Linked DNA regions of Saccharomyces cerevisiae S288C. The protein of the gene in region 2 interacts with the protein of the main gene of each other region in a pairwise test. Each region holds a gene or a part of one and is shown on either strand. Other genes may lie near its edges.

The links.
Region 1: the proteins of ATX1 (region 2) and PRO3 interact in a protein complementation assay, tested with the Saccharomyces cerevisiae proteins (one large-scale study listed by BioGRID).
Region 3: the proteins of ATX1 (region 2) and PSA1 interact in a protein complementation assay, tested with the Saccharomyces cerevisiae proteins (one large-scale study listed by BioGRID).

Annotation. Positions count from the first base shown.
Region 1 is NC_001137.3:199,565-202,601, forward strand, and holds PRO3 (pyrroline-5-carboxylate reductase), read left to right. Parts: upstream 1-1,511; coding exon 1,512-2,372; downstream 2,373-3,037. Other genes in the region: SRB4 (Srb4p), read left to right, coding at 1-1,311; carnitine O-acetyltransferase YAT2, read left to right, coding at 2,628-3,037.
Region 2 is NC_001146.8:156,979-159,765, reverse strand, and holds ATX1 (copper metallochaperone ATX1), read left to right. Parts: upstream 1-1,900; coding exon 1,901-2,122; downstream 2,123-2,787. Other genes in the region: DSL1 (Dsl1p), read left to right, coding at 1-1,657; ribosome biosynthesis protein LTO1, read left to right, coding at 2,419-2,787. UniProt on the Saccharomyces cerevisiae protein: Copper homeostasis factor that specifically transports copper to the secretory pathway for incorporation into copper enzymes destined for the cell surface or extracellular milieu.
Region 3 is NC_001136.10:355,053-358,672, forward strand, and holds PSA1 (mannose-1-phosphate guanylyltransferase), read right to left. Parts: upstream 1,708-3,620; coding exon 622-1,707; downstream 1-621. Other genes in the region: transcription factor MBP1, read left to right, coding at 1-326. UniProt on the Saccharomyces cerevisiae protein: Involved in cell wall synthesis where it is required for glycosylation. Involved in cell cycle progression through cell-size checkpoint.

The DNA.
Region 1 (3,037 bases), on a different chromosome or scaffold from region 2:
TCTAGTTTAAACAGTGATAAAATTCCATATGTTGCACCTACAAAAAAAGAATATATCGAGTTGGATATATTGAATAAGGGATGGAAGTTACAAAGTTTAAACGAATCTAAAGATCTCCTACGCGCAAGTTTTAATAAACTGAGTTCCATATTACAGAACGAACATGACTATTGGAATAAGATAATGCAGAGTATTAGCAACAAGGATGTTATTTTTAAGATTAGGGACAGGACTAGTGGTCAAAAGCTGTTGGCAATTAAGTATGGTTACGAAGACTCTGGATCTACCTATAAGCATGACAGAGGTATTGCTAATATAAGGAATAATATAGAATCACAAAATTTGGATTTGATACCCCACAGTAGTTCAGTGTTCAAAGGCACTGATTTCGTACATTCAGTAAAGAAATTCTTAAGGGTTCGTATCTTCACAAAAATCGAATCAGAAGATGATTACATATTGAGTGGCGAAAGTGTGATGGATAGGGATAGTGAAAGTGAAGAAGCTGAAACGAAAGATATCAGAAAGCAAATCCAACTTTTGAAAAAGATCATTTTTGAAAAAGAACTGATGTACCAAATAAAGAAAGAATGCGCTTTGTTGATTTCCTATGGTGTCAGTATTGAAAACGAAAACAAGGTAATAATTGAACTACCTAACGAAAAATTTGAAATCGAGTTGTTGTCCCTTGACGATGACTCCATTGTCAATCATGAACAAGACTTACCAAAAATCAACGACAAGAGAGCAAATTTAATGCTTGTTATGTTGAGACTATTATTAGTCGTTATATTCAAGAAAACATTACGATCGAGAATAAGCTCACCCCACGGACTGATCAATTTGAATGTTGACGATGATATCTTAATAATACGTCCCATTCTTGGTAAAGTTCGGTTTGCTAATTACAAACTGTTACTAAAAAAAATCATAAAGGATTACGTGCTCGATATAGTTCCTGGCTCAAGTATAACAGAAACGGAAGTTGAGAGAGAACAACCTCAAGAAAATAAAAACATTGATGATGAAAATATAACTAAATTAAATAAAGAGATCCGTGCCTTCGATAAACTATTGAATATACCTAGACGTGAACTCAAAATAAATCTACCATTAACTGAGCACAAAAGCCCTAATCTAAGTTTAATGCTCGAAAGTCCTAACTATTGTAACGCACTCATTCACATCAAGTTTTCAGCTGGTACGGAAGCCAACGCAGTGTCCTTTGACACAACATTTTCTGATTTTAAAGAAGTAGAGGACTTCCTACATTTTATTGTCGCTGAGTACATCCAGCAAAAGAAGGTGTAATATCCTGAGTCACTCCTTAAACCTACATACATTGCCATAGAATGCCATTTATTACTATATAAAGTCGCATACGTACAAAAGGACAAGATCTTATCTTCGAAAACAAGAATATGAAGGATTTAATAACATTGCCAGGTTAAGAACGGTGTAACAACAATAGAAGTAACACAACACCAATAGCAAACAAACCAACTACAGATATGACTTACACATTGGCAATTTTAGGCTGCGGTGTTATGGGCCAAGCACTTCTTTCCGCCATTTATAATGCTCCAAAGGCGGCTGATGAAACTGCTGCTGCATTTTACCCTTCCAAAATTATCACATGTAACCATGATGAACCTAGTGCACAACAAGTTACCGATCTAGTTGAGACATTCGACGAATCTCCTAACGGTATTAAAGTCGAAAGCACTTACGGTCACAACGTGAGCGCTGTCGAAGAAGCTTCTGTAGTTCTTCTTGGTACCAAGCCATTTTTGGCCGAAGAAGTGTTGAATGGTGTGAAGAGCGTCATTGGGGGAAAGCTACTTATTTCCCTGGCTGCTGGCTGGACAATTGACCAATTGAGTCAATACACTAGCACTGTTTGCCGTGTTATGACGAACACACCTGCCAAGTACGGATATGGTTGTGCGGTGGTGTCCTACTCAGCTGATGTTTCCAAAGAGCAAAAGCCACTGGTCAACGAATTGATTAGCCAAGTTGGTAAATACGTTGAGCTTCCAGAAAAGAACATGGATGCTGCTACGGCTTTAGTCGGTTCAGGCCCCGCTTTTGTTCTCTTGATGTTAGAATCCTTGATGGAGAGTGGGTTGAAATTGGGAATCCCATTACAAGAGAGTAAGGAGTGTGCCATGAAAGTTCTAGAAGGAACAGTGAAGATGGTTGAGAAAAGCGGTGCTCATCCATCCGTTTTAAAGCATCAAGTTTGCACACCAGGTGGTACAACTATTGCCGGGTTGTGCGTAATGGAAGAAAAGGGCGTCAAGAGCGGTATTATCAATGGTGTTGAAGAGGCAGCCCGTGTTGCGTCACAATTAGGCCAAAAGAAGAAATAGATTGCTTTGCGTGAAATGTATGTATGTTCGCTTTGTAGCCGTATATTATTTTTTTATTACTGACCTTGCATTTTTTCGTCATTTTCCCGTCGGTCCGATAATGAATCATCACGATGAATGACTACCCCATAATAATGACACTAATTGGAGCGTATAAAAGAAAAAAATTATATAAATGTGTTTGTAATGAGTAAGAGCAATTGATTCATTTGAAATGAAAATCAAAAATCAAAATTAAAATAAAACTAAGCAACCATGTCAAGCGGCAGTACTATTGTTTCGTCTGACAAGTCGGGGCGAACATTTAAGCATGAGGAAGAACTACCCAAGTTACCATTACCTAAACTCTGTGACACTTTGCAGCGTCTGAAGGAGAGTTTAGAGCCATTGTATTATGCTGATGGTTACTATCAACATCCTTTAGATCCAGAACAAATTGAGAAGCTGTCATCCATAATAAGAGATTTTGAAGAGAATCCCGTAAGTGAGAAGCTGCAATCTAAACTACAGAGCTACCATGACACTAGGGATTGCTACCTTGATGAATTACACTTAGACATCAATAACCAGACCTCCACTAGGGAGATTCAGGACGATGTCCTACCCAGGAATCCCTTCTTGGTTCTCGCAGATGACGCTTTGCCAAACATCACTCAAGCTGATAG
Region 2 (2,787 bases):
TATGAACCTTTCCAGGATTGTAAGCATGATCAAAAATTCTATTTTTATATCTGGTAAAGAAATCTCATATGAAAACGAAAAAAACATACTTGTCTTTTCTAAATCCTCTTCGCATGGCCAACATTGTGTGTCTACTGTATTAACAAGTTTTGAAGCAGTATGCGATTTCATGTTAGACGGATTAGCCTTTAGAGACAGAAAGACCTTAAGTTATGAGCTAGGTCCCTTGTTCAATACGGAGTTTACCAAATTTGTGAAAAATAATGCATCGATAATTTTAGAATCACTTGATTCACCGCTAAAAAATCTAGTTTCTGTCATAAATAACAAACTAACTAGACTAGTTGCCAAATCAGAAGTTACCAATTGGACACATTCCGGTAAAGAGATTCAGGATTTGTTAATGAACAAACAATTATACTACAATTTATTACTAGATAAAGTTCTTGAATCGCATATTAGTGAGATAAGAAGTATATTTGAAGATCCAAAAAAGAGCTGGCAAAATTTGGAAGTAGTTGAGCTCACTACTAGCAATACTAATACGATGAGCGAAAAAATTGGAAAAAATGATTCAGATGTACAGAACGAAAAAGAACTCCATAATGCCGTATCCAAAGATGATGATTGGAATTGGGAAGTAGAGGATGATGATGCCGATGCATGGGGTGATGAAATTGATGTAAATATTGACGACGAGGAAGAAAAAACAAATCAAGAGAAGGAAAAAGAACCAGAAGAAGAAGAAAATGCCTGGGATGAAGCCTGGGCAATTGACGAAAATATAGATGATGCTTCCCTAGAAAATGGAAAGGAACATTTAAAAGCTCATGATGTAGGATCACTTGATAAAGACCACATTGAAGTTACACAGTTACCAAAATTGTTCTTGGCAATTTCACAGAATTTCAAGAGTAGCTTTGCAGATAGCCATGTTGATGAGCAATACTTTGCGTACAAATACAACCTTTTGCAGACATCGTATATGGCCATGTGCACAGCTAATTTTTCTCACAATTGGTGCCAATTATATGTGGATATGAGATATCTAATAGAACGAGATGAAAAGCTGTATAGAATAAAAGAATTAACAAGGAACCTGCTGGAAACTAAACTGAACATGAAATATCGTATTGTCTGTCAACTAATCAGGCATCAATTGACCGAATTTCGTGAGAACGAGAGAAATCCATCGTGGGACGCCACCATTGAGAAACTGCTACCTTATATCTTGAAGGAAATTGTTCGTCCACTGCAGAAAATAAGAGGTGAAGAAGGTTCCCGTTACTTGTTGTCTTTCTTAAACTTTTTATATAACGATTGCGTGACAAAGGAAATATTAAAATGGCAGATTATCTCTGAGGTCAATTCCGAAAATTTGGGTGAGCTCGTATCTTTATTAGTGAACAACACCGATATACAATTATTAGCGAAGGAACCAAGTTACAAAAAGATGAGAGAAAAATTCGCCACTATGGGCAAGTTTCTACCATTACATTTAAAGGAGATTATGGAGATGTTTTACAATGGGGATTTTTATCTTTTTGCGACAGACGAACTAATCCAATGGATAGAGTTATTGTTTGCCGACACTCCCCTGCGAAGGAATGCCATTGATGATATTTACGAAATTAGAGGCACTGCTCTAGATGATTAAAAAATAATTAATCGTAGGATAGGTTACATGATCATTGCAATAGATGTACATCTTGTATTACGTATGCGTAAGTTGTCTTTTTTTCAGTTTTCTAATAAATTTCACGTGATGCGGTAGTTTTTTTTGGGGGTGCAAAGTTGGCACATCTTGTAGTGCATTTTTGAGCTTCTTAAATGACTTGAATCATCTTAAAACATTGCAGGATGAGATTTCCAACGACACAAGAGAGAACTAGCGCAAAAGATGGCAGAGATAAAACATTATCAATTCAATGTCGTCATGACCTGCTCGGGATGTTCTGGTGCAGTCAATAAAGTTTTGACGAAATTAGAACCAGACGTTTCCAAAATAGATATATCCCTTGAAAAGCAATTAGTAGATGTATATACTACACTTCCTTACGATTTTATTTTAGAAAAGATTAAGAAAACCGGAAAGGAAGTTAGATCTGGCAAACAATTGTGAATGAAAGTGAAGAGAAATAGTTTTTTACTCTATTTTGTATTGTAGCTACTTAAGTAAATGATTAATATTCTCAATAGGATGCTTACGAAGAAAAAAGTCTTTTTTTATTGTTTTATTGTTTTATTCTTTGTTGGCTATGTAGCCATTTGCCTTTTCAGTATAATCTTACTAATATAAAAATCTCAATCATGGTGAGAAATCGTTTTATAAGAAAAATGAAAAAAAACTTGTTTAAATCAAATCACTTATCATATTTGAAGAGTAAATGGAAAGTAAAGATCACTGGACAAATAAAAATGGATTTTGATAATTTACTAAACCTAGAAGAACAGTATTACCAAGAAGGTTTTCTGGAGGGCCAGAATGAGAATATAAAGCAGAGCTTTCTAGAAGGTAAACAGTATGGTTTACAAGTGGGATTCCAAAGATTTACGCTCCTGGGACAAATGGAAGGTTTGTGTGATGTTATAGAATCGTATGGATTGCATAGTCCAACACTAGAAAAGAATATACATACCATTCGTACTTTAATGAAAGGTTTGAAAATGAATAACGATGATGAAAGTGTGATGGAATTTGAGAGGGTGTTAATAAAATTGAAAAATAAGTTTAGAACCATTCTAATAACTCTTCATCGATTAGTTAAAGATAAAAGAACCCCCACC
Region 3 (3,620 bases), on a different chromosome or scaffold from region 2:
ACAAATTAATAGAAGATGAAACTCAGGCTACCACCAATAACACAGTTGAGAAAGATAATAATACGCTGGAAAGGTTGGAATTGGCTCAAGAACTAACGATGTTGCAATTACAAAGGAAAAACAAATTGAGTTCCTTGGTGAAGAAATTTGAAGACAATGCCAAGATTCATAAATATAGACGGATTATCAGGGAAGGTACGGAAATGAATATTGAAGAAGTAGATAGTTCGCTGGATGTAATACTACAGACATTGATAGCCAACAATAATAAAAATAAGGGCGCAGAACAGATCATCACAATCTCAAACGCGAATAGTCATGCATAAAATATACATAAATAGAGGAACTTTACATGTATCCATATACTGAAAAATAGATAAAACAATGAGATAATATTTATTAACTTCTACGTAAATAAAAAGTTACATAAGGATCAACCTTTTTTTCTTTATTTTCTTTTTTTTTTTTATTTTTCATTTTCAATTACAAACTAAGACATAACAGTAAGCAGTGCTTTTTCTGTGCATGTTTTCCTCTTTTTATAATGATATTGGCTAAAATAAAATTAACAAAAACAGATGAGTGATATAGATTATATTCATTACAGTTCGTTTTCCTAACTCACATAATAATAGCTTCCTTTGGAACATTATCGGAGATAGACTTATGAGGTAAGACTTTACCACCGTTGATGTAGATTTCGTCCTTAACTTCAACGTCGTCACCCAAGACAGTGACACCTTCCAAACGACACCATTGACCAACGGTAGAGTTCCAGCCTACGATGGTAGATTTGACCAAGGAGTGGTTCTTGATGGTGGAGTTGCACAAAACAACAGATCTGGTGATTCTAACACCATCACCGATGGTGACATTAGGACCGATAACCACGTCTGGGCCAATCTTAGCAGTGGAGGAAATCTTAGCGGTTGGGTCGATCAAGGCATTACCAACAATGTTGGCACCTGTAGCCAATTTTTTTGGTTGTCTCTTGGCCAAAGAGTTCAAGTAAAGAACGGTACCAGACAAGAAGTCCTTTGGTTGACCAACATCCATCCAGAAACCTTCCAAATCGAAGGAATATAGTTGTTTTTCTTCGACCAAGATTGGGAAAGTTTCCTTTTCAATTGAAGTTGGCTTCATTTCAATCAAGTCAATGACTTCTGGGTTTAAAATGTACAAACCGGCGTTAATTCTGTTACCAACAAATTCCTTTGGCTTTTCAACAAATCTGTCAATCAAGTTTGGAGTAGCTATATCATGGACAATGACACCGTATTTAGAAGGTTCGTCGACCTTGGTAGCAACAATGGTACCTTTACCACCGTGAGCTTTGTGGAAGTCAGCCAATTCCTTGAATGGATATTCGCAAATGACGTCGGAGTTTAGGACGAAAAATGGAGAGTTGTCCTTCTTCAAAACATCTTCAGCCAATTTCAATGGACCTGCAGTACCTAATGGTTCAGTTTCTACAGAGAAAGTGATGTTAACACCATATTCCTTTTCGTACTTCTTCAAAGTTTCCACCATGACTTCTGGTCTGTAATTAACAGCAAGAACGATGTCAGTAACACCAGCGTTGGCTAAAGCCTCGATTTGGTGTAAAATCATTGGTCTATTACCGAATTCAACCAGTGGCTTTGGAACGGTCAAAGTTAAAGGTCTCAATCTGGTACCGTAACCACCGACTAAAATTAAACCTTTCATTTTTCAATTATATATGTTTTATTTGTTGAAGTTGTAGCTTGTCTTGTGCTGATAATATTTTGTTTGTATAGTCAACAAAATATTTGGACAGAAGAAAAGAGTTAGCGAATGTAAAGTAGTTTGCACACTTGATGAACGTTATCAAAGTCAAAGAGGTGAGAACAAGATAGACAAAGAAAAAAAAAATACAGTTTTGGAGAAAAGAAAACAAGACTATGTGAAACTTCTAACAATGACGTGAAAAGTCTACTATATATATGTTTACAAGAGCGCCACGAGGCAAGGAAAAAAAGAAAACAAAGCGAGAAACCACCAGCTTACTTTACTACCGGTCAGCTGTGGTTCTGTGTCTGTTCGTCTGTTTGTTTGTTTGTTTGTTTATTGCTGCGCTGTTCATGCTGAAAAACGACAAAAACAAAGAAAAAAAAGTTTTTCAGAGATTGAGATAAAAATAAACGTGGTGGCTCCCGAGGCATTTCTAGCTGGCCAGCAAGTACACGGTGGCCGTTTCTTTTGGCGTTTTTTTTTTCTGTTTTCGCGTTCTTCATGCTGTGCGTTGCTGGTGAGGTGGCGTGGACGGTTTGGTTTAGGCAATGATAGAAAAAGCTATAGTCAGAGTTGCAGGAAAGGACGAAAGTAGTCCATTTGGTGCCGTTATCCAAGGGTCTTGCTCTTAGTCTTGCTTTTCACCCAGCACGCGGTAAGAAGGATCGGGTGCAGCATGAAGAATGCTGACTGTACGCGTTTCGATTTGAAGCTTTAGGATGTTCTGTGGGTTGGGTTGGCTCGATCGACAGTGCGTATAGTGACCTTTGAACTGTACCGGGTGGCACGTCGTGCACAGAATCAGAAGTAGTTATAAAAGATTTGTAATTGCGTATATGCAACCAAGTTTAGGCTTTCTCCGTGCCGTTTTTTAAGGTGAAATGTACTCCTCTTGAAAATGTAAAAAAATGGAGCCTCGCAGAGCAGCTTGCCAAGCAGGTTGATACAAGGTGAGCCGCCGAAACATAACGATAAACGTGGTATAGTTTTCGATTGCCTTTAGTTTGGGTGGTCTCAGTGCTGGCACCTGACGAACTATTCGTAGGCAGGAGAACTTGCATCATGTGGTGTTCTTCCGAGATAGGGATGCCGTTTGGTCCTTACGAAAGTCAATGTTCTGGTACTACTAATTATTAACATAGTTCGTTGTATACACACTCTTTACTTTCATAAGAAATAAAAAGCACGTCTAAGAAATCTCTACGTCTTGGCTGCGGCAAGCAACTGCATAGAAAGCACATAGTAGTAACTCTAAAATGCGAGCTTCATACAGACAATTACATAAATGCAACATAGGCAGCATGGGATCCTGGGTTTCATATCGTCAAAGAAAGCCACCAACTGGCTTTACCATAAAAATACGAAAAGAAGTGCACACATTCTTCTTTTTGGCTCATCACAAGTTCTTCAATTTACTGTCATTACTTTTGTTTCCTTGTCAGATAATGTATGGGTGGTGTGTACACCAAGGTATTTTTTTTTTTACTTGGCAGATCTGCAATGCATAATAGAATGGTAAGGGAACGAGTAACAGACGGGAAGCGAATGCGAACACAAAGAATATAAATTTGAAATCTCCTGTTGCAAAGGATTCTCTAGACATTTACTATCTCAGTGACAATTCTCGAGTGAAACAAGAAATTGAGATGGTAGGTCAGCGCCCATACTTCTTGAATCAATTGGAGGAGCGGATAAAGCAAGTTTCCCCCCTCAATGTAAATCATCTTAAGCAAAATTTTAAAATCTAGGCACATATAAAGAGAAAATGGGAATGATTTTGCTGGATAGGCTACAGTGTTAGGAATGCAGAATTAGGAACTATAGATGATGCGATTAAAGATATTAAACGAGAAGTGACAGTGGTGGCT